Linked DNA regions of Cricetulus griseus. The protein of the gene in region 1 purifies or fractionates together with the protein of each later gene. This does not show direct contact. Links are inferred from orthologs where the notes say so. Each region holds a gene or a part of one and is shown on either strand. Other genes may lie near its edges. The genes, in order: Slc7a1, heparan sulfate 2-O-sulfotransferase 1, Stx4 and Stx12.

The links.
Region 2: the proteins of Slc7a1 (region 1) and heparan sulfate 2-O-sulfotransferase 1 purify together in Homo sapiens (co-immunoprecipitation; 3 studies listed by BioGRID and IntAct, counting the BioPlex papers as one, with this or other methods). This does not show direct contact. The link is inferred for Cricetulus griseus from reciprocal best matches to the Homo sapiens genes SLC7A1 and HS2ST1.
Region 3: the proteins of Slc7a1 (region 1) and Stx4 purify together in Homo sapiens (co-immunoprecipitation; 3 studies listed by BioGRID and IntAct, counting the BioPlex papers as one, with this or other methods). This does not show direct contact. The link is inferred for Cricetulus griseus from reciprocal best matches to the Homo sapiens genes SLC7A1 and STX4.
Region 4: the proteins of Slc7a1 (region 1) and Stx12 purify together in Homo sapiens (co-immunoprecipitation; 3 studies listed by BioGRID and IntAct, counting the BioPlex papers as one, with this or other methods). This does not show direct contact. The link is inferred for Cricetulus griseus from reciprocal best matches to the Homo sapiens genes SLC7A1 and STX12.

Annotation. Positions count from the first base shown.
Region 1 is NC_048597.1:84,183,644-84,190,658, forward strand, and holds part of Slc7a1 (high affinity cationic amino acid transporter 1), read right to left. Parts: intron 6,678-7,015; coding exon 6,538-6,677; intron 3,196-6,537; coding exon 3,093-3,195; intron 497-3,092; coding exon 279-496; intron 30-278; coding exon 1-29. UniProt on the Homo sapiens protein: High-affinity, low capacity permease involved in the transport of the cationic amino acids (arginine, lysine and ornithine) in non-hepatic tissues.
Region 2 is NW_023276806.1:14,690,280-14,697,090, reverse strand, and holds part of heparan sulfate 2-O-sulfotransferase 1, read right to left. Parts: intron 4,700-6,811; coding exon 4,602-4,699; intron 2,793-4,601; coding exon 2,635-2,792; intron 2,277-2,634; coding exon 2,047-2,276; 3' UTR 1-2,046. UniProt on the Homo sapiens protein: Catalyzes the transfer of a sulfo group from 3'-phospho-5'-adenylyl sulfate (PAPS) to the 2-OH position of iduronic acid (IdoA) or glucuronic acid (GlcA) within the heparan sulfate (HS) chain and participates in HS biosynthesis.
Region 3 is NC_048596.1:72,931,001-72,938,709, forward strand, and holds the start of Stx4 (syntaxin-4), read right to left. Parts: upstream 4,471-7,709; 5' UTR 4,340-4,470; coding exon 4,310-4,339; intron 4,149-4,309; coding exon 4,047-4,148; intron 3,991-4,046; exon of another isoform or gene 3,969-3,990; coding exon 3,869-3,968; intron 3,728-3,868; coding exon 3,653-3,727; intron 2,792-3,652; coding exon 2,721-2,791; intron 1-2,720. UniProt on the Homo sapiens protein: Plasma membrane t-SNARE that mediates docking of transport vesicles. Necessary for the translocation of SLC2A4 from intracellular vesicles to the plasma membrane.
Region 4 is NC_048595.1:20,380,757-20,388,521, reverse strand, and holds the start of Stx12 (syntaxin-12), read right to left. Parts: upstream 3,936-7,765; 5' UTR 3,825-3,935; coding exon 3,707-3,824; exon of another isoform or gene 3,193-3,706; intron 1,761-3,192; exon of another isoform or gene 1,520-1,760; intron 1-1,519. UniProt on the Homo sapiens protein: SNARE promoting fusion of transport vesicles with target membranes. Together with SNARE STX6, promotes movement of vesicles from endosomes to the cell membrane, and may therefore function in the endocytic recycling pathway.

The DNA.
Region 1 (7,015 bases):
CACAATGCACACGATGATGATAAGAACAGCTAAAAGAGAAAAAAAGGAGAGTGGGGGAGAATCCCCGTATGTATCATACATCTTTCCAAATCTTCCGAAGGAGACCCAGTGTCCAGGTCATGAATTAAATGACAATGAAAAGCTGTTGTCACTCGTCTTTTCCATTTACCCCCACCCCCCAATTGCAACCCAACTCACATCCCTGTGGACCAGAAACCACACAACACCAAGAAGCCAGACTCCAAAACCCTTCCCGGGGAAAAAGGTGGGTATCTTACCTAGGAGGCTTGCTGATACATTCACAATGAGCCCTGAGAATTTGGATGGTTCCAGATTCTTGGGTGAGAGTACCGTTTTCAGAGAAAACTTCTCGGCTACTGGTAAAAAGCCTGTCTGGGAGTCACTGGCGCTGACCAGCTCATTCTGGTCAACTTGATCCAACTCATCGGTGGTTCTGGCCATCTGGTATACCAGGTTAGGTTGCTCGGGCTGGTACCTGTAAAGACATGCCCACAGCATGAGTGCTGTTATCTGCTCTTGTTTCCATTCCCAGCCCCACATGGAGGCTCATCACCTCCTCAAGCACCAGCACACAAAGTGAACAGATGGACATGCAGGCAAAATACACGTAAAGTAATAAATATAATAAAATAATAAAAACAAATATAAATAAAATTGAAGGTGGGTCTCAGTGAGTTCAAGGCCAGCCTGGTCTACAGAGCCAGTTCCAGGACGGCTAGGATTACAACCCTGTCTCAAAAAAAAGTCAAAAAGAAAAATAAATAAAGAAAAGACACACACACACCTTTAATCCCAGCACTCAGGAGGCAGAGGGAGGTGGACCTCTTGTGACTTTGAGGCCAGGCTGGTCTACAAGTGAGTTTCAGGCAGCCAAGGCTGTCGTCACACAGAGGAACACTGTCTATACCCCTCCCCCACAAAAACAAAGATCAGATTAAGTTCTCAATGAGCCTTTAAAGATAAGGTGCCTGAGACACTGGACATAAATGGGTAGAATGGTGCAGTATTTAGCAATACAAGAACAAAGGACAGATCAAGTCCTTCCTTCTCAGGCCAATACTCAACCGTGGTGTCTTCACTTTGGGTAGAATAGGGAAACCATTGGGAAGTGGTCCAATGAAATGTCCCAGAGAGGTTCTCTTGATCAAAGAAGTAGCAGTAGCCCTTGAATATGACAATGTTAGGGCACTTCTCACCAAACCCTTGTTGCCCAGAGCTCAAAGGGAGTACAAAGTCAAGAAGTGCTAACACTGGCATTCCACTTGCTGTAGGAAGCTGGAGAGTCATTGACTACTGGTGGATGGGTAAGCTCTGTCTGCATGACCTAACTGGACAAAGCTATTCTAAACCTCTAAGTGCCTTGGAGTAACTACAGAGCCAGCCATGCCTGTGGCATGACTTCCAAGACACAAGCTACCCACAGATGAAGCATACATTCATATGACGTGGTTCCTTGCCTTTCCAACTGGACAGGTTCTCACTAGCTTTTAAAAGCAGAATACCTTTTGACTTGTTTTGCAGATGATCAATTCCAAGCACAAGAAGAGTATGCAGCGAGATAGCTAACTGTTCTTCCCATAGACCCACAAATGCATGGTAATTTGGCCAATCAAGAAAGTAGAACTCAAAGAACATGTTGGTGTTATGCCTCTAGAATTGAACAGAGGTCCATGAACTTGCCTGAGCTGAGCCTGCAACATCTCTAGTAGGAACCAGTCCAAGTTTTATGGAAATTGAATGCTGAAAAAAAATGAAGCTATTTGCCTTCTAAGGAGAAACACCTGAAAAGAGGGAAGCTCTGGCTGGGTGACTGTTATAGAATACTATTTTAAGATGTGTTACATTTGTTTTTATGCTGTGGAACATTTGCTTAATGATGCAAAGATTTGTTGCATTCTTTTATGTTGCATTTGTTTAACTCTGTGAGCTGTGTTACTTTGCCTGTCTGAAATATCTGATAGGTCTAATAAAGAGCTGACCTGCCAATAGCTAGGCAGGAGAAAGGATAAGCAGACTGGCAAGCAGAGAGAATAAATAGGATGAGAAAAAAAGAAAGGATGAGAGATCAAGGAGCCAGAAAAGAAGGGGCCAGCCACCCACGGGGTGAAAGTAAGATATACAGAAGTAAAAAAAAAAAAAAAGAGAGAGAGAGAGAGAGAGAGAGAGAGAGAGAGAGAGAGAGAGAGAGAGAGAGAGAGAGAGAGAAAAGCCCAGAGGCAAAAGGTAGATGGGATAATTTAAGAAAAACTGGCTAGAAATAAGCCAAGCTAAGGCTGGGCATTTATAAGAAAGAATAAGACTCCATGTATGATTTATCTGGGAGCTGGGTAGCAGGCCCCCTCAAAAGCCAAAAGAGTAAAGAGTAAAAAACCCCAATAACAGGTGACAAACAACAGTCATTGTGAATACATGTTCTCATGACAAAGGCCTTAGAGCTCTCTGTTCCTCCATGTCCAAGCAAAGTTGGAGCCCAGGCATGTGCTTTGGGCACTTCTGGGTGGGTGAGACACTATGGCACCAAGCTCCTGTAGCCCTAAAGCCTTTAAAAGATACACAATTAGAACCCAGTGTCCAAAAGCTACACCACACCATGTTATGGGGTTCACTCCCAAGCACCAGTAAAAGCAGGCTACAGAAGCACCACATGGACCTGGGTCATAGGCCTTAGATTCTTCTGATGTAATCTAGGGCTAGCCCCCAGGATCATTTTTCCCAACAATTGGGCCAACTGAAGTCATTGCCCTAAGCCTTCTAAATTTCATATCCCAGATTCAGATCAATGCTGCTGTTGAGGACATTTAGCCAGAGAAACAGAGGACATGATAGGAGGAAGCAGCTCGTGTGCTGGGAGGGGGGTAGCACATGGATGAGACAAGACGACAAAACGGGGGAGGGGGCAACCACTGACTTCACCCCACCTTCTACTCAGCAGCCCCCAACAGAGCTAATATGGCCTGAAAATTGTACCTTATAAACTTACAAACCATTTGTCAGAACGGTTAAAAAAAAAAAACCCAGCCATAATAGGGTTGTTTAACATTTGTCGTGGAACCCAGGAAAGCCATACATACCTTAAGACTAATACACAGGCAGCCACCAAAGAGTAAGCCAGGAGCGTGCCAATGGACATGAGGTCTACCAGGTCCTTCAATTCAAAGAGGAAGGCCATCACAGCTGGGGAGAAGACAGACATCAGCTTGCAAGTGGCCCTCTACCCGACCGCACATCTGTAATTCGGGGTACTCCCAGTCCCACCCTCACTCAGCCATTGTCCAGGAGACAGACATTGCTCAGGTGAAGACAGGCTCAAGAAACAGTAGAAATAATTAACATTGAAATTTGCATAGAGCCGGCTGGAGAGATGGCTCAGTGGTTAAGAGCACTGGCTGCTCTTCCAGAGGACCTGAGATCAATTCCCAGCAACCACATGGTGGCTCACAACCATCTGTAATGAGATCTGGTGCCCTCTTCTGGCCTGCAGGGATGCACGCAGACAGAACACGGCACACAAAACAATAAATAAATAAATAAATCTTAAAAAAAAAAAAGAAATTTTCATAGAGAATACTTTTTTTTTTGGGGGGGAATAATTTTTCAAGCCAACTCAACACTACAGATGAATACTGTAAGTAGCAAGTTGAGCTAAGGATATACAGCTAGTAGATGGGAGAGCCAGGATCTGCATCAGATTCTTGCAACTCTGACCCTACTGTGACTTCTGCCACATGTTGGTGACTCACAGACAGCCACATCCACACGACCATCTGTACATCTATCTTCCACCCATTCATCTTCCTCCATCTATGGTCATTCATCTGTATTCCATCCATCCATCCACCCATCCTCCATCTGCTCATGTCTTTCTTCCGTTTCTGCAGCCATCCTCCATCCATTCTCCCATCCACCATTCCTCCCTCCCTCCATCCATGCTCTATTCATACATGCGTCTATGGCGATACCACCCTGAACGCGCCCCATCTTGTCTATTCACACATGCATCTATCCATCCTTGTTCCATCCATCCATGCTTCAGTCATCCATCCACGCATCCTTCCTTCAACCACCCACTCCTCCTCCATCCACCATCCATCCATTCAGCCAGCCAGTCACTAAGTTCTAGGTACCCAGCCTTGAAGAGGGCAGACCACAGTGTCTGGCCTCCTAGAGTATCATCTAAAGATACGTGTATCAGGAGATGATGGTGATGGGAAGCCTGCTCGGGAAAGACTCACAGGAGCTCCTACTCTAGGCAGGTAAGTAGGGAAAACAGTTATCCTCACGTGTGAAAAGTTTCAAAGGTATTCCTAAATGGTACTATCCCTGTCACCAAACAAACCTTGCCATCCTGCCCCCCCCCCCCGACTTCGGTCTTTAGAAGAACTGAACATACATGCTTGGGAGGTCTGGGCCTGTGGTAGAGCACTGGCCTAGTACGTACAAGATCTAGTGGCATGATAAACACGTGTTTATTTAAAAATTCCCCGTGTTCTATTTATGTCAGTATATTATGTCAGTTTTCCCATTTAAAAAATAATTTGGCAGGATCTACTTGGGATATTTTCAAATAATATGTAAATCAATACAAATTAAAGCAGAATCATGGAACTATCCATTTCCCACACACATCTTTGAAGCCCCACCAGATCAATGCAAGCCAAGCAAATTTAAATTGATAATAAATAGTTAGATTAGAGAAGCAGTGGAGGCCTTTCATATAATTGGAACACTTTTGGATAGCACATGCCACCCTCGCCTCCATTCGTGCTCACAGAAAAAAAAAAAAAAAAAAAAAAAAAAAAAAAAAAAAAAAAAAAAAAAAAAAAACTGCTACCATGCCAGGTGATTTTAGAACACCAAATATCAATCCTACCAAAAGGGGAAAAAATGGACCAACTCTTGGTTTGGCAAGTGGTGTGTCCTTTACAGCCACTCAAAAGGTCATGGTTTGACCTCCTTTTGTGAGCACAGCAAGGAAACTACATCAAATTATGTGGGAACTTAACAAAGTCCTCGGTCACTGCAGTGACCTGATGCCCCAGAACCTACTACGGTAATTACATGCAGAACTATTGGTAAACAATTTTAAATTTGTTTTCTTTTTTTAAATATAATAATAGTCACAAAACTAAAATACTTTATTAAGGTATGAATACTAATAAATCATTTGCTCATTTAAGATGGCCAATTGTCAGCCAGGTGGTGGTGAGGCATGCCTTTAATCCCAGTCCTCAGGGGGGCAGAGGCAGGCAGATCTCTGTGAGTTTGAGGCCAGCCTGGTCTACATAGTGAGTTCCAAAACAGTCAAGGCTACCCAGAGATACTGTCTCAAAAAACCAAAGATAGATAGGTAGATAGATAGGTAGGTAGGTAGGTAGAAATGGTCCATTGTCTTACTAGTAGCCATTTGATAAGACACTGAGATACAAATTGTATGGTACCCTGTGTCCTGAAAGATCAAAAACAGACCCGGTGCTAGTCGGATCCTGCAAGGAACTGCTTCTGGCATGAACACAAACAGAAATCAAGAGCAGCTCAGCCTTCCTGGGTGTGACCCTGGGCCTCTTCAGGCCACCACTTCTCCAGCTGGACACGAGGAAGTATGCACATGGGCTTCCTCTGGGTCACCCCCCTTACCCCCATCAGATGGCTTAGAGATCCTTTAGTGCACCTAGTTCATCTACCACAGCTGCACTCTTGGGGATGAACATGATGATGGCAAAAGAAAACTTCCTTGGCTCTGGGTCTACCACTATTTGAGGGCAAACAGCAAAACCCTGTATATGCCTCCTGGGAGAGAGATGGTGCATGTTTACAAAAAAATGACTGTGAGGGACATTCATGCTCCAGGCAATCAATAAGCTAATATGCATGGACACTAGACTTGCTGGTGTTTACCCAAGAGTACTTTTGGCTTGGATTACGCAAGAGGCCACCCTCCCAAATTCTACACAGGGAAACACTAGGCAGGGATGATGGGTGGCTTTGAAGGAATGGTTGTGTGTTTGTGAGCTTTGCCTATAGAGACCACTGTAAGAGTTAAACTCTAAGAATAACTCCAACCCATCATCTATAAACCTGCCTTCACTGTCTTTCATCAAATGTACAGTTATCTAGGAGTGGAGAGACAGCTCAGCAGTTAAGAGAATTGGCTGCTCTTGTAAAGGACCCAAGTTCAGTTCCCAGCACACACGTGTTGGCTCACAACCATCTGTAACTCCAGTTCTGGGGGATCTGATGCCCTCTTCTGGCTTCCATGGGTACCAATCACACACTGGGTGCACATACATACAGGCAAAACACCCATCACGTAAGCCAAACCTAAAAATATTTTTTTTCATGCAGTTATATTTTCGTGAACCAGGTTCTGAGTGTAAAAAGCTATAGTTTCAAAAGCTCTAATGGATGAGTTGTGGCTTTTTTACAGTTCCCACAGACAGGTAAACTTCAAGATGCCTCGCTAGGAATGCTGGCTTAGTTGTTCAAACAGTAGCACCGGAAATAAATTCCAATCTTTACCAGCAATGGCGCCTGAGGTCAGTGTAGCAATTACTGGTGTTTTGGTCCTCTTGTTGACTCTGGCCAAATATTTAAACAGTAGTCCGTCTTCAGCCATGGCGTAGATTACTCGGGGCATGGGAAACATGGAGCCTAGGAGACTGGGTGAGAAAAGGGAAAAACACGTGAGTAAACGTATGTCACTGGCAAACAAGGCCTCAGCAGACCCAGGCAGGGCCAAGGAGAGGTGTCTGCCTTCAACAAGAACCACTCCCTCCACAATGCTTACCACCCAGTGGCACCCAGGGCTCTGGGACTCAGTGCTTCACAAAACTCACAGAGTAGGTGTAAGACCAATGAACAGACTAGGGGCACCTAACAGAAAGGATCATGAGATCCTGGGGCAACATCCATGAGGGAGCTCTTGCATTTATGTCTTCAGTCATTCCTGGCTAAGGCCAAGCATTAGCAAACAGTTCCTGTTTATACAAGCCATTGG
Region 2 (6,811 bases), on another chromosome or scaffold:
TCTTGATTGCAAAGGGGGGGTGGGAGATAAGGGGAAATGCTGCTATGTCCTCTTACTATTTTCATTCACAGTGGTGGAGCAGGTGACACTGTCATTCCTTTAGTCTTTCTAAGTGCTTTCTGATACACAGCGTTCTTTGCTCCTCTCATTACACAATAAGTGACTTTGTAGCCATCTGTCAAAAATGCTTTGTTTGATGAGGTCCTGTTCAGAAGTATTTAAACTAAACATATAAATAATTACTCCTTTAAAAAAGTCTAAAAGAAATCTGATTTCTGAATCTGAAGAGGGAGAAGGTGAAGAATTAAGAGGCAAATTAAACTCTACAAAACGGACTTTTAAAATCCATAGGTGTAAAATAGCCACCATTTTTGAATGACAAGATCATATGAAAACAGGAACATCTTTCAAGTTTGCAAAAGGTTTTTCTGTTCCTCAACAGCTAAAGAAGGTCCCGAGTCACTAGAGTTCACAGGTGTTTCACATTTCAATAGTTGCTGAAACACAGAAGATAAACATGAAGAGGATATTTATCAAACACAAATTTATGCCAAGATAAAGTTTTTTTCTTCTCATAAAGCTTAAAAGTGAATTTTCCCTTTTTGTTGTTAAAAGAATGGACAGTATGAAACTTATGTTAGTGATACTTCCATTTAAACACCACTTGACAATTCCAAAGTGCTCTCACCATGCCACCGTAGTCCTCACAACAGCTCTGTGAGGTAGGCACAGTAGGCATTAGTATCCTCAACTCAAGATGAGGAAACCGAGGCAAAGAGAGGTTAAGTGACTTGCCTGACGCCACACCACTGGAAGGTAGAGAGCTGAAACCAGAGATCAAATGTTTAGACTGTCTAGTACCCTTTCCATTATCACTATTGCCTCAGGCTGAGTAATGCTCTCTCTCAAAATTGAAAGGCTAGGTTAGTTCATGTCAGAGACATCATAACAGCAAAGTTAAATGAGAAATACAAGAATAGTCTGATGAATTTACTCGACATAATAAAATTGGTGCAAAACCACTTTTTATCTACTGACTTGTAACTTTTTGGTCCAAATACATAAAATATGCAATATTTACAGCATTTTTCTTTTGTAAATGCAATGCTTTAAAACACATTATAAAGCACCGTAGTAAAAATAGTCTACAGGTAAAAGTACAGAGGTAGGAAAATCCTACCATCACAGCTCACTGATGGAGTTGCCATATGCAGTCACCGATACTTCAGTGTACTGGGTTATAGAGAAGCCATGGAGAAACAAATACTAAACTCATTTTTTTTATATGAATGTGTGGAAATCCTTAAGAAAGCCTCAGATAATGTTGTCAACATTCTTAGAAATACCACCCCAATATTAGATACTGGGGAGACAGAAATCAGGAATACTGCTTTTAACTGTTTTGTCTTTTTACAGTATTATTCATGGTTTTCAGTTGATTTCTTTAACACTAATGATCATCCAAAAAATAAAATAAAGCCTACATAAATATGGGCAAACTCAACTACAGCAAAAACAGTTCTGAGAAAACATGATCAAACATTCCAATAAACTCTGTGAGACATGATCCACATAAACAAATCAGCTACTGGCAAATAGTTATTAGCACTATCCAGTAGGGGTGTGCAACACAAAACTCCAAGTGCCATACAGACTCATCTGCATCCAAAGAGAGGTGAAAAAAATGCTTCATCAAAAGCAAGAGAATCACAGAACCTCTTCTGAAATGGTATTCAGCCTTCTGATTAAACCTCCATGTGTGTAATTTAAGTGACATGAGATTTCTCCTCACTGGGAGATTATAGCTATCATGAAAATGAAAACAAAGTAACAAAAGAAATAACAATTCATCACACTTAAGAACTCCTTAGAACACTGACATCCCATTCAGCATCTAATTTCTTGACACTCCTGTCTGTTCCCCAACTCGGCCCAACAAGAACTGGCTCGGCTTGGACTCGATTAGCAGAACAGGTGCAGAAGCTGAGAACAACGGTGACAACACAGCCAAGTCCAGGTTCAAGACTGCTCTGGTCACACTTTCACTCAGTTCGACTTCGGGTAAATCTTTTCATAGAAAAAGTTCTGGGCCAGGATGTAGAGGTCTCCATCTTTCTCACGGACAGCGTGGGCTCTGATGAACTGGAACTGCTCTAGTGCAAACTCGTAGAACTCATTTTCCATTTTCCAAATGTCAGACTGCTGCAGCTTCGCGATGGTTTGCTTGGTGGGAAGTTTCTTCTCTGTGGTTTTCCTCAGGTGGGATTTCTTTCCTACTTACAATGGGAAAATAAGAAAAGTAAATAATTGTTGCAGAGCACACAGACACTGCCTCTTTCCTGTATGTGCTGCAGTCATGGAGGACTTGGGGCAGATGTAAACTTCAGGGAGAGTCGAGTGATGGCATGCTTTTAAACAAATGAAACACCATCAGGGTTGGACTGACTCACAAAGGTCTGGAAGGACACTTTCAGATAAACTACAGCAGACTTAGCACACGACGGCTGTTCCTGTGTTTAGCACTCCCATCGAACCAGTCTAGAAGTATAGTCTAGTTTATTACTCAGTCAACTTGTAAACAAACAAACAAACAAACAAACAAACGCTTTAGAAAGAAACCTATCCTGTCCATACCTGTACGATAGAGGTCTGTAGCACCCCGGAAAAACCGGGGCAAAGCTGCCTCGAGTAGCATGATGAAGTCTTCCAGCTCCTCAGTAACTCCCACCAGAAAGTACTCGTTAATTAGGTTATACTTAGCTTGATCCATAGCCCATCTGCTTCCCACATTCCTGAAACCACACAAAAGGAATTGAACACGGGCTGTGAAACAGGCTAAGTGTGCTCATGCTTCTGACCCTCTGTGTTATGGAGGAAGCAGGGAGGTGAACGCGCTCAGCGCAGCTTCAACCCCCCCTGCAGCGGCGTCTTACGAAGGCGTAACATTTCCAACTTCCTTACTTCCACGTCCCCAGCTTCTGCTCCCTACATGTAGCCACTCAGACGCTACCACAGGTTCTCAATGAGAACAGACTTCAAGGACAGCTTTAAATATACACATCTGTATCATATAGTCTCTTTTTTGACTTCTGTGTGCATCCATGTTTTAAAACTACTCCAAAACTTTGTTCATTCTGAGAGCCCCTATGGGAAAGTCATAGCAATTTTTGTTTAGTGTTTATCTTAATTTGTAAGCTCTGTTTCTTTTCTTTCCATAAGCTTTAGTGTTTCGTGACATGCGGAGAAACAAAAAATAGGTAAGAAATAGCTGTACTAGAAATCTTTCTGTTTACAGTGTCAGCTAAGGCATTAACAGGTCTGATCTTAAATAGACTATACCTCTGGGATCTAATTAGCACTGACATTCTTTCTGCTTTGCTCTAGCTCTGCATTTTAAGTGCCAGTGTGACCCTGTGTTGGCTTCACTTCTTCTTGTCTTCTCAACTATTAAAGGAAAGGCAAAATCACAGACCAAGAAACTGGGTGTGACAGTACATAACTAGTGTCTTGGCACTTGGAGGTGGAGACAGGAGGGTCAAGAGTTCAAGGTCAGCCTGCGCTACAAGAAATTCTATCTCTAAAAAACCTTGGAGGGGAGGAGGATGGGGATTGGTTGGTTTCTAAGGTCTCCCCAAAATATTTCATTGTGTGTGAAATACATGGATTACCCTCTCTAATTAAAACTCAACTAAGCAATATTTTTTACTATTCAAAAGCAGGGCCTGGCAAACTTCTTCTGTAAGAGGCAAAGAGTAAATATTATAGGCCTTGTAGACTAGACGGTTTAAATAACAATAATTCCCCTCTGCTATCTCAGCAGACAGTAAATGCACCCACAATAGTGGCTGTGTTCTAATCAAGCTTTATTTACAAAGAACACGTGCTCAAACATAATTTGGGCCATAGGACTGGGTTCCTTTTCAGAGGAAATGGCTAAAACCTGAAAAGACATCTTCCAATGCTTTCAATTGTTTTTCTTTTTTTGATATTCTTTTTAAATTATTATTATTATTATTATTATTATTATTATTAATTCAAGTTAGGGAACAGGCTTGTTTCACATGTAAGTCCCTCTCCCTCTCCGTCCCTTCACCCCCATTCCTTCTCTCCTCAATTGTTTTTCTACATGATGCTTTGCAGCAGTCTACAAGCAGGTCCTCGACTTTATGTCAACCTATATGGCTCAAATGATCAAGAACGACTTTGGATTTCACTTTGAGAAAAATACTAATTTTGAATGGATTTTCTGCTTCTGCATTTCCTATCAAAATGAATGAATAGCCAGATATGGCAGTGCATACCTGTACCAGAGAACCCAAGGCAGGAGAATCTCAAGTTCAGGCTGGCTGAAGAGTTGGGTAGGCAGTCCAGTGACCCAGCCCTTGCCAAGCATGTGCAGAGTCCCTTAATGCCTTAAAGCAAATGTCTGACCACAATAAATAAATAATGTAAAATTATTTTAAAAACTTGAACACAGAATGTTCTTGGGGAAATTTTTTATTAGAAGTAAAATCCTAGTCCTGACTACCACATTCCTGCCCGTGAGATATGGATTGCAGAGAGATGGAAGACTACCACCATAGTGAAGTTTGTATTCCTACCAGCATTCTGAGCTGTGGCCACAGAAAAATGGGATCTGGAGCCAGAGCTTCTCCGGAGCACAGTCTGAGCCGCCCTCAGCCACACATTCATCAAAGGTCTGCAGCAAAGATAAAAAGAGCACCATTAGCCATAAACCACGCCTCAGGGTAAGAGACAGATTTTTAATCTCTGTATGCCTGTTTGTGAGTGTAGGTGCGCACATGCCATGGTGTCTGTATGAAGGTCAGAACAACCCTGGCTGTCAGTCCTTGCCTTACGTCTTGTTGGAGACAGGGTCTTTTGCTCATCTCTGAGAGTGTTAGGCTACCTGTCACGAGATTTCGGTAATGTTCTGTCTTCAGTTCCCATCTCGCCACAGGACACTGCAAGCACAGATGTGCACTACTGTGCCCACCTTCACACGGGGTCTAGGAAACTGGACTCAGGTCCTTGCATGGCATGGCAAGAGCTTTACCCACTGACTCACCTCTCCAGGGCAAAACTTTTAATGTAACAAGTTACCAAGTAAATGAGTACAAGTGGGTGGGATGAGACCTGTGGATATATGGGGGTGGGGCAGATGGATCAGTGGTTAAGAGCACTTGTTCTTGCAGAGGACCTGTTCAGTTCCCATCACCCACATGGCAGCTGACGACCATCCATACATCCTCTGCAGCTGTTGTTTATGACGTCTGGTGAGAAACACCAACATGGCCCCACTCGCTGTCCCACCTTCCAGGAGTGCTTCCTGGTAGGCTCTCAACACACTAGTCCTGCTTGCTTTTGACCAGGAGCATCCACCCATGCCACATCAGTTCTATGGGCTCTTAAGTATATCCCAGTACCCCAAATCTCTGTAACTTTACTGGAATGTTCTTCCTCGGTAGACTGATTCTACCAGTGAAGGTTTCATGAGGTCCAGCCTTCCAGTTACTCCTCGGGCTGAAAGTCATTTCCTGTCTTTTGAGTTCTGATGGGAGAATGTCCTTCTGTGTATATGTTTCTCTTATTGGTTGATGAATAAAACACTGTGGCCAATAGAGGCAGGGAGATAGGTGGGACTAGGAGATGAGAATTCTGGGAAGGGTAGGCAGAGTCACTTGCCATGTGAGCTGCCAAAGGAGTTAGAGGTCCAGACCCTTCTCAGGTAAGATAAGACCACATGGAAATACATAGATTAATAAAAATGGGTTAATAATTAAGACAGAGCTAGCCAATAAGAAGCCCTAGCCATCGGCCAACAGTTTAATTAATATAGTGTCTGTATGTTTATTTGGGGCTGAAGCGGTTGTGGGACCAGCATGGCAGGTTGGAAACTTTCTGAAACAGAGTTCTATACACTGCCTTGTTAATAACCAGCTCTCAGGAAGGGGACACACTCATCTGCAAGTGTCATGTTCAGTTCCATAACAAGCTTCATGTAGTTTTTATATTCCATTCCTGCTCAACTATGGTGGGGGCTAGAAAAGGTCATGCCACGTGCAAATGCATTTCAGAACACGCTATGGTGCTACACAAACTGTTAGCAGAGTTAGTGTGTGTGTAGTGTTGTTTTGAAGATTGTGATTGGGGCTGACAGAAGTACTAAAGACACAGCACTGGTGAACATAGAGACAAGGTCACTTATTTCATGACACAGGTGAGATAGCACTTCAGCATTTCCCAGAAATTTCCTTATGTGTGTTTAATTTGTATAAGTGGAAAACTTTGGCCTTGACCATTCCATTACTTAGGCATTTCGCTAGACGGACTGTGTAAGGGTGTGGATGATAATGGACTAAACCTCTGAAATTTAGAGGTAAGCCAGCCTCAACTAAATGTTTTCCTTTGTAAGAGTTGCTTTGGTCATGGTGTCTCTTCACAGCAGTAGAAATGCTAAGACAGAAACTGGTATCAGGTACTGGGATATTGCTGTGATAGGCCTGACCATGCTTTTGTTTGGAGGAATGTGGACTTTGGATAAAGCAGTTGAACGCTTTAAGTGCTGCCTAATGGGCCACTCTAGTAAGAGCTGCAGAGGACAAGTGGTGCTGAGAGTGATTTGAACGGTTGGGGGCAGACTCAAGAGGTTTCAGAGAAGAATATTAATGTGTGGCCTAGAGATTATGATATTTTGGTGAAGAATGTGGCTGCTTTTTGCCTTTTCCCCAATTAAATGTTTTTCTTTGTAAGAGTTTCCATGGTCATGATATCTTTTTACAGCAATAGAAACAAACAGGATCTCACTATG
Region 3 (7,709 bases), on another chromosome or scaffold:
GACAGCTGTTACTTTTAACTGCCGAACCACGTCTCTAGCCCCACCTTATTTTTTGTTGGTTAGTTGTTTTTGAGACACGGTCTCAGGTAGCTCAGGCTGGTCTTAAGCTCATTGATGGCGACCTTGAACTCCTTGAGCCTCTGTGTCTACCTTCTGAACGCTGGATTACAGGTGTGCACCATGTCTGGCTTCACCTATTTATGAGTTTTTGATTTTCATCTTATTAATCATTACTACTATTCTTTGGTTTGAGACTGGGTCCCATGTAGCCCAGGCTGGCCTACTATTATTATAGGTGTGCAGCAATAGGGAGCTGCATTACGTAGTAGTGGAAATCTAACCTGGGGCCCTGTGTATGCTAGCCAAGCACTATAATAACTGATTGACACCCCCAGCCCTTACTTATTGTTTAAATTTATTTGGGGGTGGGTGGGACTAGGGAGATGGCTGAGCCTGTAAAAATGCTAGTTGCGAAAGCATGACAACCGACTTTCAATGATCCCAGACCCAGGTAAAAAGCCAGATGCGGTGGTGTGCCACTGTAATCCCAGCATGCCTCAAGTGAGATGGGAGGCAGAGGTAAGAGACTCCTAGTGCAGCAGCAGACGCAGACAGACCCCACCTAGGAGGAGGAAAGCCTATTCCTTAGACCTCAACATGAGTACCGTGGTGTGCATGTGCACACACGCACACACACACACACACACACACACACACACACACACTCACACTCACAGAAACAAACACATACTTTCTGAGTATTAGTGATTGACACCAGGGCTTCATGCGTGCTAAGCACAAACTCTACCACTCAGCTCTACTCTTCCCCTCATTTAAATTACACTCCTTCCCCGGGCCAGCACTTTCCCTCTTTTTATGCTGTTTTGTAAGCCTGGTGGGGTGGCCAACTCCTTTAATTACAGCACTGGAAGGCAGAATCAAGGATACCTCAGCATAGTGAGTTCCAGCGCAGTGAGATCTTGACTCAAATAAACAAAAAGTAAAACACTTATTTGGTGACTGTCTTGCCTCACTAGAATGTAAACATCTTAACGGTAGAATTTTTAGTTTAAAAGTCTGGCACACTGGTACTCAGTGTGCATCTGCTGAAAGCTTCTGAAGAGCAGCATTGCTGTTTAGACTGCAGGTACACTCATGGACTGCAATGGCACCACGCTACTGGCATGGAACAACAAGATGTTCTCATACCACAGCTACCACAGGTCCACTCTTATGGTGCATTATCCCCCATCCCTCTCCTGATTCCTTAAATAAGCTTATTCTCCTGAATCCCCACTCCTGCGCCCTTTCAAGATGCCTACCTACTCCAAACCTGACCTCCATAAATCCCAAGCACTCTTCACCATGCACCAGAGGGGCCCAGTCAAGTCACGTGAAATCTCCTCACTCAGACACTGCCTGGCATGACTTCTTCTCCACCAGAATTCCTCTTCTTCCTTTTACAAATGTTCTTTTTGTTTGTTTGTTTGTTTTTGTTTTTCAAGACAGGGTTTCTCTGTGTAGCTTTGGAGCCTATCCTGGCACTCACTCTGGAGACCAGGCTGGCCTGGAACTCACAGAGATCCGCCTGCCTATGCCTCCCGAGTGCTGGGATTAAAGGCGTGCGCCACCAACGCCCGGCTACAAATGTTCTTAAAAATATATTTTATTATGTGCCTTCATCTGTGGTATCCAAGGAGGTGGAGGGCCTCTTCCTAGAGCTGGAGTTACAGATGGTTGTGAGCCACCTGACATAGGTCACAGCTGGGAACAGCTGAATTCAGTTCCTCTGCAAAAGTGGTGTGTGCTAAGCCATCTCTCCAGTCCCTACATCATACGTTAATATATGTCTTTACTGTGTATGCACGGGGCAGGGCATGTGTGCCATGGCACATGTGTAGAAATCAGAGGACAACTCCCAGGAGTCAGTTCTCTGCACCCCATGGACCTGGGGCTGAATTGGGTTATAAAGCTTAGAAGCAGACACCTTTACCCACTGATCCGTCTTGCAGCCCCTCGCCATCTCTTAAATTCTATCTATGGGGCCAAGGATGTCCTTGCTTGTCATTTTAACTTACATTTATTTATCATTTATTTATTTATTTTTGGTTATTCAAGACAGGGTTTCTCTGTAGATCAGGCTGGCCTCGAACTCAGAGATCCGCCTGCCTCTGCCTTCACACTTGGCTCTTATTATTATTCTTTGATTTATGTGCATTGGTGTTTTACCTACATGTATGTCTATGTGAGAGTGTTAGATCCCCTGGAACTGGAGTTACAGATGGTTGTGAGCTGCCATGTGGGTGCTGGAAATTAAATCTGGGGCCTCTGGAAGAGCAACCAGTGCTCTTAATTACCATTTTTTATTTCTCTCTCTTCTTCCCTGAACAAAGCTATTAGTGACCAAGTCCTACATGAGAAATATCTTTGTTCCCTTTTCAGTCCAAATTCCCCATTTCAGTTTTGGGAAAATATGTCTCTCATAGCCAGGACAGAGTCATGTCTGACATAGCAAATTCTCTTTGAATGGCGGTGGCATGGTGTTATAATGGATTGAGAATTTTGTGACTGGGATCCTCTACCTAGACCAAATAAGCATAAAGGAAATTCATCAGGACAGAGATCCCAGATTCAACGGTCTGTAAGGGTTGCCCAGTCACCAGTTAGTAATCTAAGAAACACTTGATGAAATGTCCTAGTTCTAGGAAAATGAAACCAACCTGGGTTTTTTTCATTCTTGTGTTGACTGAGTTATAATTCTCATCAGCTTCTTCCTTCTGAGGCTCTATGGCTGTGGGAGAAATACGAGGGTTGATGGAAAGAAAAGCTTGCCCTGAGACTTCTAAAAATTGGCTGGGAGGCTAACTGATTTCTGTCTGGGCTAGCCTGATCTACCTACTGAGTCTCAAAAAATAATTAAAAAATTGAAAATACATAATAAAAAATTTTAAATGAATCAAAAAAAATTGTTTGGGTACCAGAATACAGGGCCACATCTACATTCCAGCCACATAATAAGGAAGTTCTTGTCTTCGTAGGATTTTTTTTTACAAAGTGACTTATGAGCAGGGATATATTTTAGTAGTGACACATGATGGAGGAGGAAGGGGGAGGAGGAGGAAAAAAGAAGGAACTAGGAGGAAGAAGAAAGAAGGAAGAAGGGGGTGAGATCAGCCAACTGGACCTGGTTACGGCAGGCCTTTAATCTCAGCATTCAAAAGGCAGGGAAAGATGGATCTCTGTGAATTTGAGGCCAGCCTGGTCTACATAGGAGGAAGAGGTGAGGGAGGGGGAGGAGGAGGCTAATTCTGATCTTCTAAGAGAAGTTTTTCTTTGTATTACATCAGTGGGTTCCCACAAGAGTGAAGGAGCCTCCTAAGAAACCCTCATCCATCTGCTCAAAGAACACACACTGGGCTTCAAGAACTGTAGCAGCAAGTAGTTTTGAATTTAGATGTAAAAATAGTAATAAAGGAATCTGAGAGGCCAGCATGTAATATATGCAAAGTACCAAGGCTTAGATGCCACAGGGCAGAGATCCTAGACCCAGACCTGCTCTGTGACCTGATATATCACTTGACTCCCCAGATACACGAGCATCAGGGCTGAATCACTGGGGATGATCTGGCTGAGGCCCTTGAAGTTCATTCACCTTTTAGCTGTGCCCGGACCTCTCTCCCCAGCTGTTTGATCTCCTCGCGCAGGTTCTGCAGGCCCTGCTTCATGCCTAAATGAGAGAAGGCCAACACTTCCAAACCACAGCCTCCACCACAAACCAAAACCAACCCCACCCCCGGCCAACATCTATATAGGACTACATCCCCCATAATCCACCGGGCTGGCGTACGTGAACCCGGGTTTCGCTTACTCTCCTCGGGAAGGGGCGTGGCCAGAATGGTGACCTGCTGTTTCTCCAACTCCCGGACTTTACTCTCCAGTTTGGCCATAGTTTGCCGAATTGCCTGGACCTAGAGAGGATCACCAAGGGAACTGAAGACATAAGTGGTACTGTAGTCCTCCCTACTGCTCGGTCCTCCGGGCCTTACCTTCTGGAAGAACTCGTCATCTGGGCTGCCCAGCCGGGCGGTACCTGGGTGCACCACCAGCGCGACTCGAGCCTCATCTTCGTCGTCCGAGCTGTTGTCCCCCTGCCAGGGCCGGAGTCATTGGCACCACTCGCTCGCCGCGGTTCTCGCCCCGCAGGAGCTATGGGCTTCCGGGATTTTCCTTCCTGGCCGTCAGCCACCCCTCCCGGACCCCAAACCAGGAGTCCTCAGTCCTGCGCGCCCGCCGGGCCCCAGCTCCTCACCTGCCTCAGCTCATGGGTCCTGTCGCGCATGGCGGCCCGAGCGCCCGGTCCCTGGACCTGAGCCCCGAGGGCCTCAAGGTTCTAAGTTTGGAAGTCCTGCACGAGCTCTCTCTCACTTGACACCCCCTTCCTCACCCTGCGAACCCCCAACGCCCCCACGAGCCCCCAGAGGTCCCGCCCCTTTCACCATGCACAGTCGCCGGGGAGAACCCGACCATAGGACCCCCAAAGTTCTACAGGTTGGAATTCCCTTCTCTTCCCCCCATCCTGCTCCCGCAGCCGCAGCCCCGCCCCTCGGGAGGATGACTCGGAGCATGCGCACGAGGTCTTGTCTCTTCCTCGCTAGGGGGAAAAGGCGGAGGTCGGAAGCAGTCGCGGCCGAACGGAAGCGAGGCCGCCTGGATCGAGAGCCCGTCCGCCCCCCCCCCCTTTCTACCGGAACATCTCATATTGGGACTGGAATCTAGTTGCCCAAAGGGTTGGGGATGCGTCATTTGCACGCAGTCTGAGAGCCTCGTATCTCACATCACCCCATGGCGCCCCCTCATCACGTGACAGACCTGGCCCCGCTCCGCCGGCTGCACGCCCGACAGCCGGTCACGTGTCCCGGCGCTGTCAGCGACGTCTCGGACTTCAGTCTCGCGACGTCCCCGATACCCCTGAGTCTGAGCTGTACCCCTTGCAGAAGGTGGGGAGGGGTACACCGACAGCTCTCAGCCACCTACAGAGGAGACCCTTGTAGACTTCACTTTCTGTTTTAATTTGGGGCCCTAGGGCGTGGGCGATCTGAAGACTTAAATTTGGGGGCTGTCAGTATCACGAGACCTTGAGAGTCAGAACATAATGAGATCGGAGGCTACAGCGTCAGAGGATTGCAGGGTTTTGTAGGCAGACAATCTGGGGGTGGGAAGTGACCTCAGCCAAGGTGGAACTCTTCCCCCTACACACCCTGCGTCCTCCTGGCACAGCCTCTGACAGGTGGGCGGCCTACGCCCTGTGTGAGCACTGCAGTCCCGCTGAGCTCGCCACCTTCAGATTTCAGAGCAGCTCAGACTGAGAGGAATGTATTGTTACCTCCGCAGCCCTGAAGTCCTAGCATGACTTGCTTTTCTTTTACGGAGTCCCCAGCACCAAATTCAGAGCTTGCTACATAATAGGCCCTCACAGCCTTGATCCGAATAGGAGCCTTTCATGTATCTGAAACTAAAGCCTGTGGCTTCTCTCACCGTCCCATTTCCCCAGGTTTGTCTCTCTGGACATATTTATTGGGCACATACTATAGAGCAGATATGTTTTAGGGGCTGGTGACACATCAGAAGCCAACAGACTAAAACCCCATGCACTTGTGGGGCTGTGATGCTTTTCCCTTTAGAAACTCCTGGATTTGGAAATGAGGGGGTGAGGATAATATGGCCCTGACCACCCCGCAGAGGGATGCGGTGTTGGTGGGCTTCTCAGGAGGCCCAGCTCTGCCTAGTGTGGTCCCCTGAAAATAATGTGGAGAAAAGTGCCTACTGTGGGGCCTGACTTTCAAGGTGTCATGATGCTGTCAGCCCCCAAATGGAAGTCTTCAGTTTGTCCATGCCCCTGGGGAACCCCCCAAAACAAACCAAAACATGAATTCTGCAAGGGTATCTTTGCCTATTAACTGCTGCCTCCCTGTTCAATTGCTACTTCCCTCCTACTCATCCCCTCCCTCTGACTCTCTGTTAGTATTACAAGGGGGGGCGAGTCGGGAGGTGACCTTAGCCTGTCTCCTAGCCCTGTATGTGATCGAGAATGTCTCACTGTTTCCCTCAGAGATGCAATTTTCCCTCTTGACATCTTGGTCTGACAGTTTCTTCCTTGCTTAGGGTAAGGATTGGAGGACATCAAGAAAGGTTAGGAAAGATGTGGTAGGTCTTGTAGACTGTTAAAGCTCTTATGTGAGCTTTGCTGCTGTGAGCTTGTGAGTTCTGCCTCTCTCTCTCTCTCTCTCTCTCTCTATCTCTCTCTCTCTCTCTCTCTCTCTCTGCCTTTCAATCATACCTGCCCATTTCCCAGCCTCTTGGCCTCCAGCGGCAGTGTGGAGTTTTTGGTGCTTCTATTAAAGCATCTCAGGCTTATAATATTCACTATTATTTCATTTGTGGTCTCTGGGTGTGATCACAGGTATTAAGATGATAACTTAAGGTTTAGGACACTGGGACCTCAGTATTTTCTGACTGTCAAGGTCTCATGATGCTGACAGCCCCCAAGTGGAGTGATGTTTGCCTCCGCTGAATGCTGTGTTCCGCCTAGGCCCTTTGTAGCCTTGAGTCCCAGGTTTATATAGTGGGTCTTGGGTGTGTAAGTATTAGTAGAGTATATACTTCTTCCGTTCTGTCTGAAACTCAAGCTGTCCATGGTCCTGAGGCTAGCAGCCTGTCCTGTCCTCACTGCCTCAGGTCTGATCCTCCCAACCCCAGCACCAGATGACCTGGGCTGGGATTCCTGCTCATTCAGCTCTATGAGGCAAGTCATTTAACCTCTCTGCTTTAGTTCCCATCTGAAAAGGAAAGGAGAGCAATAGCATTAAACTCCTAGTGTTTGATAAGTATTAAATAAGAAACAAGAATAGAATGGTGCCCACTGTGGCTGTCGAGTGTGCTTGCTATTGCTAGATGGTGATGATGGTGGAGACTGTTCCACTGAGGATTTCAGTAGCCCAAAGTCTGTGCCAGAAATTCCACTCTGCCGATTGTCCAGGATCTTCCTTCCGAGCCCCACTGTGCACCAGGTGCTCAGGCAGCAGTTTTGCCAATCCTGTATATCTCTTCTGTTTCCACCAGCACCTCTCAGGCCCTATATTTTGCTTACCTCTAGAATATAAACTTTAGAGGACAGGAGTTTTCACCTGCCTTATTCACTGCTGAGTCCCCAGTATCCACAACAGTACCTGGCACATACTAACTAGCTAGTCATGAATGAATGGAATTCTTTCTTTTGCATTTAATATTTGTATAACATTTAATATATCTGTGAGGCACCAATATAAACATTTTATAATTTTAATTCATTGAGCTTGGCATGGTAACACATGCCCATAATCCCAGTACTTGAGAAGTAGCATCAGGAGGATGAGGAGTTCAAGGCCAGCTTCAATTACTTACCAACTTTGAGGCAAATGGAGGTTACATGAAACCTCGTCTGAAGAAACAAAACAAGGGCTGTGTGTGGTAGCTTAGCTGGCAGCGCACAGAGAACAAGCATGAAGTCCTGGGTTTTCCCCTAGTCCCACATAAACCAGGACAGTGATACCCATTTGTAATCCCAGCACTCAGGAAGTGGAGCCAAGAGAATCAGAAGTTCAAGATCATCCTAAATTACATAATGAGTTTGAGGTCTGCTTGGGCTACAAGAAAATCTAGGAAAAAGAAAA
Region 4 (7,765 bases), on another chromosome or scaffold:
CAGGCAGCAATTCATGCTTTGCTCTATCCAGTGGACAGAAGCGCTTAAAGAATGCTTGTCCACCCTGAATGAATAAACCCATCATATATGCTTGGGACTGAGGTAAATAGTAGAAAAATAAAGATGAATAAGCCACGTTTCCTAGCTCAAACGAGCTAACAATCTAGCAGGGAAGATGAACATATTACAAGAAACCACAGCTTCCAGTACACACATACAGACATATACACATTCAGCTAGGCAATTCTTTAAACTTTCTCAGTCAGTTTCCTAATCCATAGGCCAGGGATATTTGTAATGATTTCATAGGACTGTTAACATGAATTAAAATATTACATTACCCCCCCCCAGGTGGAAGTGGTAAAGCCTTTAATCTCATCACTCAGGAGATAGAGGCTACGAGATCTCTGAGTTCAAGGCCATTCTGGTCAACAGAGTGAGTTCCAGGACAGACACAGAGAAACCCTGTCTTGGAAAAAAAAAAAAAAAAGATATCACATGTACTTTTCATACTGCCTAGCACACTATGTACTTAAACAGTAGCAAGTAACACATTAATTGTCAACTCTAATGATCCCCTTGAGTCCAATGCCTGATCAACAGCTAAATCAGTATCTATCAACAAGGAAACTGCTTTTATTTCCACACACACACCTTTTCTTATTGTTTGGTTTTAAGACTCACTCTATAGCTCAGGCTGGCCTTGAACTCGTGGAAATTGTCTTGCCTCAGCCTCCTGAGAGATGGGGTTACAGCCCTGACTCATCATACCTAGGTTTTGGCTTTTCCCTGTTCCCCTTCCCTCTCCTGTTTTCCTTTTGATAAGGGTCTCATTATATGGCCCAGGCTTGCCTTGAACTCACTATGCAGTTTAGATTTGCCTAAATAATGGCAATCCTCCAGCCTCACACTCCCAAACACTACAATTACTGCTATGCCCAGCTTCAAATCTAATTTAAGTAAACACAAATTTGCTGTTAAAAGAATCTATACCAGGATGTGAGGGCGATCTGTCTGCTAATCTGTCACCCATTGATCACCAGGGTTGATTCGGCTGATCTGGCTGCTGTATCTGTCACCCATTGATCACCAGGGTTGATTCGGCTGATCTGGCTGCTGTATCTGTCACCCATTGATCACCAGGGTTGATTCGGCTGATCTGGCTGCTGTATCTGTCACCCATTGATCACCAGGGTTGATTCGGCTGATCTGGCTGCTGTATCTGTCACCCATTGATCACCAGGGTTGATTCGGCTGATCTGGCTGCTGTATCTGTCACCCATTGATCACCAGGGTTGATTCGGCTGATCTGGCTGCTGTATCTGTCACCCATTGATCACCAGGGTTGATTCGGCTGATCTGGCTGCTGCATCTGTCACCCATTGATCACCAGGGTTGATTCGGCTGATCTGGCTGCTGTATCTGTCACCCATTGATCACCAGGGTTGATTCGGCTGATCTGGCTGCTGTATCTGTCACCCATTGATCACCAGGGTTGATTCGGCTGATCTGTCTGCTGTATCTGTCACCCATTGATCACCAGGGTTGATTCGGCTGATCTGGCTGCTGTATCTGTCACCCATTGATCACCAGGGTTGATTCGGCTGATCTGGCTGCTGTATCTGTCACCCATTGATCACCAGGGTTGATTCGGCTGATCTGGCTGGCTAGGAATCACTGGCTCCCTCACTGCTCCATGTGTGCATCTTCCAAAGCTGCCTTCGTGCTTGGTCATAGAGGAGGACAGTCTTCGGTCAAAGGTATACGAGTAGCTGCACTCCTCAGCTAGAACCTCCAAACAAGCTCTCAAGAATCTATGCCAGGTCCTACACTTACTATACAGCTTAATACTTAAATACAGACTATTCCACAGAAAGATATTCAAATTAGGTTTAATCTTAGTGAGAAAACTTCAGCCTTGAAACAAAATTCTCTTTCTTTTTTTGTTTTGTTTGTTTTTCAAGACAAGATTTCTTTCTGTGTCCCTGGCTGTCATGGAAGTAACTCTGTAGACCAGGCTGGCCTCAAACTCACAGAGATCTGCCTGCTTCTGCCTCCTGAGTGCTGGGATTAGAGGGTATGCCACCACCACCCAGCACAAAATTTTAAAAATTTTTATTTATTATTTTTGAGTGTAAATGTGGAACATACATACAAACTAATGCAAACACACACAGTACACTTGCAGGTAAGAGTGTGGAGGGCAGAGTACAACTTTGTGCAGTTAATTTGTCCCTTCCACCTTTACATGGGCTCTGGGGAGCAAAGCAGAGCAAGCACTTTACCCCTGAGCCATCTTGCCTGCCCCTTGAACCAGGATTTTCTGATCTAACCTGTATTCCTGCTCCTTGACAAATGAGAACTGGAACACAAAGTACCATACTTTCTAAGCATCGATCACATTATTGTTGTTTTTAATATCTGGGTTTCACAAGCTGAATGTTCTTCCTACCACCAAACACCTACTCCTAACCCTACCCTCACCAGAAACCTACCTCTCAAATTCTACAATTTACATTTAGATTTAAAAGCAAAGTGACAAGCTGAGTTTGGTAGTACACGACTTTAATCCTAGCACTCGGGAGGCAGAGGCAGGTGGATCTCTGAGTTCAAGGCCAGCCTGGTCTACAAATAAGTGAATTCCATGACAGACAGAGCTAGAGAAATTCTGTCTCAAAAGTAAAATAAAAGCAATGCAAAGTGACTGCTTTAAAGTGTAGAACATAATTGTAATTCAGAACTGACCCTAACAGTATAGTTAAGCTCTCTAAAACACAATAACACAGATAGTTGTCACCTTTTTTTTTTTTTTTTTAAAGTAAAGCTGCCTCTGTTGTTCTGTTCACAAGGCTCTAGGCTGATTCTGAATCTCTAGAAACAGCCTGTATTTGACTCTCAGCTACAATCTTAGACTCTAATGGTGAGGAGTGAGTTTTAAGGCAAGCAGTTACAGACTACATACTCACTCGGTATGTAGTTGTAGCCAAGCGTCTCTGTGTATCAGATTTATACAAGAATAGCTCAACTGAGACAAAAAACGAAATATCATGCTTGAAATTTAAAAAAATAAATACTTCTTTGCTACAAAAGACAACGTAAATTAAAATGTTCCCGGTGCATTCTCTAACAAAACAGGAGTCCTCCCACCCCTTAAATACCAGTCACTGACTCTGATTTCCAAATTAATTACAGGAAGCACAGTGTATTAAGTCACCCAAACACACGCATTCGCCACTTCCCTTAATTGAAAGTTGCTGATGTCCCAGGACCCAACCGCTGAGCAGAATGTGAACCTAAAAGCCCTTAACCAGCAAGCAACCCCTGATCCAAACTGTGGAAAGCGAGGTGGGTGGAGAGACGGCGATGACAGGGAAAATTCGGCTGACCACTGCGTCAAGTCAAGACTGTTGCTCACAGTCCTGGAGATGACACACACTCCCTCCCACCCTCGGGCTGTCAAGTAGGCTCTGTTGACCCAACACCGTGAAATCACAATGCCTGAGACAGGGGTGTGGACCTGAAGGGCCCGAGCCTGACCGACCCGCCGAAGGCAGCTCGCCGCGCCCGGAGTGGAGGCTCTCGACGGCCTCGGCTGTGGCCCTGGCTGCGACCCTGACCGGGCTCCGCGTCGTGGCGACCTCAGCCAGGCCTGTCCCTCGGGTCGCCCCCCGCGGCCCCCCGCTCCCAGCTGGGTCCCCTCGCTCACTGGCTTGACTGATCCGCTGGATGTTGCCACTGCACGTCTGGATGATGCTGTTGAAGTCCCGGAGCTGGGGCCCCGAGGGCCCGGGATTCCGATACATGTCTAAGGGACCGTAGGACATCGACAACGAGCAGAGACCGGGTCGCGCTTCGCGGCGCTCCTACCGGAAGCTGCCAGTAGCCAGGCTCCGCAGCTGAGAGGAAAACCGGGAAGAGAAAGGGCGGGGGGCGGGGGGGAAAGGAGCGGCGACTGCGTGCGCACTGACCCCGCCCACTGACAATGCGCACGCGCACGCGCACGCTCTGCCCCTCCCCACCCCACCCCCCGCTCCCGTGGTGCGCGTGCGCCGCTGTCACTTGAGAGTTTTCAAACTGCTGGCAGAGCGTGTCCCCGCAGAGCCCCGCGCTCGGCCACGTGCCGCCCGCCTAGATGCCGGTCCGCATCCTGCTGCTGGGCGCAGCATTGGCGCTTAGCCACCCTGCAAATCTTTGCTTTTCCAACCCGTGTCAAAACCGAGGTGAATGCATGAGCGTGGGATCGGACCGGTACAAATGCGATTGTACCCGGACAGGATTCTATGGTGAAAACTGTCCAACACCTAAACTTCTGACAAGGATAAAATTACTGCGGAAGTATACGGCCAACATGGTGTACTCCATGCTTGCTTACTTCAAGGGAATCTGGAACACTGTCAATAACATTCCCTTCCTGCGGAATTCAGTCATGAGATAGGTGTTGCCCGCCGGGTCGCATTTGATTGACAGCCCACCAACTTACAAGGTGCACACCACACCTACAAAAACTGGGAAGCCTTCTCTAACCTCCACTACCACAGAGCCCCTCCTGCTGTAGCAGATGACTGCCCAACTCCCATGGTGTGAAAGGGGGGAAAGGGCTTCCTGATTCAAAAGGTTATGGGAAAAGTTCATCCCTGGTCCCTCCAGATTTGGGGGATGCTAGACAGGGCAAATGACATCAAATAGCTGGGAGCCCATTGAATACGTTTTCCCAGTCATCTTGTGTCTCCCCAGAGTCCGCTGACAGCATGCAAGAATTTTCGATTTGCATAAAAGTGTATGAGATTTCCTCAACCCTACTTCCTATTCTGTTCTGTTCTGAGAACCCAGACTCAAATATGGGAAATTAAGCAATCTTGAGCTTCAGATCTGTAGCCAATTAGCAACTCTTACGGATTGCAAACTACTTTTATTCCTCCCTCCAATCCTAATTTAAGCAATAAACTAGTAACATTTGTTGGGCACATACTGTGTGTGAATCCTCACTTTAGGTCACTGGTTCATAAACACTTCACAGCAAGGAAGCATCTCATTTTTATCTATAAAGTAGATTTTAAAAATTAATTTTTTTTTAGCCGGGCATTGGTGGCGCACGCCTTTAATCCCAGCACTTGGGAGGCAGAGGCAGGCAGATCTCTGTGAGTTCGAGACCAGCCTGGTCTACAAGAGCTAGTTCCAGGACAGACTCCAAAGCCACAGAGAAACCCTGTCTCGAAAAACGAAAAAAAAATTAATTTATTTTTGTTTTATGTGCATCGGTATTTTGCCTGCATATATGTATGGGTGAGGGTGTTAGGTTCCCTGGAACTGGAGTTACAGACAGTGGGTGCTGGGAATTGAACCTGGATCCTTTGTAAAGGCAGTCAGTTCTCCCAACGGCTAAGCCATCTCTCCAGGCTCTAAAGTAGATTTTTTTAAATGTAATATAACATAGAAAAGCAAGCATTATTTTCCCTTTTACAGGTGAGAAAATTAAGACCAAAGAGTATTGATCACTTTGATGTTTAATTGGAAACCCAAACACTAAGCTAACTCTATCTCACAACTTCCATAAAACTCATTCCCAGGGCTGGGGAGACAGATAGCTTAGCAGGACAAAGGCACTTGCTGTCAAACCTGAAGACCTGAGTTCAATCCCATGGGTCTACATGGAGAAGGAGACACCAGCAAATTGTCCTCTGGTCTCCTCTACCTGTTGTGCCAAGCAACACAGACACAGGCACACGCACACACACACACACACACACACACACACACACACACACACACACACACTAAAATGCAATTAATTTTTAAATGTTTTTTTAGAACATCATTGCTGTTATCCCAAGTTCATTATCTGTGGAAGTTCCTTCCAAAAAGTCTGCTCATTTCTAACAGGTAGCCTTGGCTAGCCTGGAACTCCTTATGTAGACCAGGCTGCCCTCAAACTCATAGATTATATCTACCTGCCTCCGAGATCCCAAACAATTTCTTAGATAACTCCTGAAAATTTGAGCACTTTGGAATCTAGCTGCAAAATGATTTCATAGAACTTCATTTTGTGGGTGGCATGTGGTGAAAGGGGGAACATGGACGGGACTTTGCACTGAAGGGACCTGAGGACCAGACATGAAGGGGCCAGGAGTTGCCTGCATTCTCCACCCCACCAACTCCAGCATGCTATAGTCTCAGAAACGAGAAGAGAGGAAGCAGCTTGTGAGCAGCAGCAGGGATTCCAAACGTGTGAATGAGCCTGTCTCCACCTCTAGGGATTTTTAAAATAATTTATTTAGCTTTATGTTATGTGCATTGATGTGAAGGTGTCAGATCCCTTGGAACTTGAGTTATAGATAGTTGTGAGCTGCCATGTGGGTGCTGGGAATTGAACCCAGGTTCTCTGGAAGAGCAGCCAGTGCTCTTAACTCCTGGGCCATTCTCTCCACCCCCCACCTCTAGAGATTTTAAAGCAAGGCTATCTCTATTTTTAGTTGGAATTCACTTATGACAGTATTTCCCCTTGTATACAAAGGGACAGATTAGGCCTGTGAAAGTTAATCAGTGGCAGAGCACTAACCTAGCGTGCAGAAGACAGGGTATTTGCTGGGCATGGAAGAACAAACCTATAAGCCCAGCCCTTCAGAGGCAGAGAGTTCTAGGCCAGTCAGGAATGCATAACAAGACAGTGTCTTTAAAAGAGGGGGGGCACATGGAGGCTTTGATCTCAGCCCTCTGGAGGCAGAGGCAGGTGGATCTCTATGAGTTCGAGAACAGCCTGAACTATAGAACTAGTTCCAGGACAGTCAGGGCTACACACACACACACACACACACACACCACACACACACACACACACACACACACACAAACACACACACACAAACCAAAACAAAAACCAAATCTCAAAATAAAAAATTTAAAAGAAAAGAAAAGCTGGGCATAGCTGCACATGCCTGTCTCCAGGCACTGGGGAGCAGATACATATGGGTCCTCAGATTTCACTACTCAGCCAACCTAGGCATAGCAGAGAAATTCCAATTCAGTGAGAAATTCCAGCTCAAGGCATTAATGCAGAGAGCAAGAGAAGAAATTCTACATCCTCTGAATGTGCACATACTAGCTCATGAACCTGTGTATTTATGTGCACACAACAACACAGAGAAGCTGGGCATTGGTGGCACACACCTTTAATCCCAGCACTTGGGAGGCAGAGGCAGGCGGATCTCTGTATGTGACTTTGAGACCAGCCTGGTCTACAGAGTGAGTTCCAGGACAGCCTGCAAAGCCACAGAGAAACCCTGTCTCGAAAAACAAAAAACAAAACACAGAGAAAAAAATCTAGTAATTCTTATGATTCATAGTTTTGTGTCAGATCCTATGTCTTATTGGACAACTTTAATGCATTAGAGATTCCTAATATAATGTACTAAAATGTACCAGTTTGAATGCATTAATATTAAACTCAATGTCACCAATAACATAGGGATGTCACATTAAGGACAGAAGTAGAACACTTCCCCTTTTGTGTCATTTAACCTAGAGCAAGGTGAGGCTGAATTCTTGACTTTGATCTCCCTGTGTCTTCCATTGTCTGTCACAAAGGGCTTCTGCTCTGTATTTACCAAACAGCACAGAAATCAGGGGGCAAGGAATGAGAGACTTTACGGAAACCTCTAACAGAGTTTCCACAGGGGATTAAGTCATTGACTCCAACTGACTTGAACTGATCTGATAACAAACACCATCAAGCAATGTCCAATGCGGCTTCCAGGGTTTATGGTGGCTA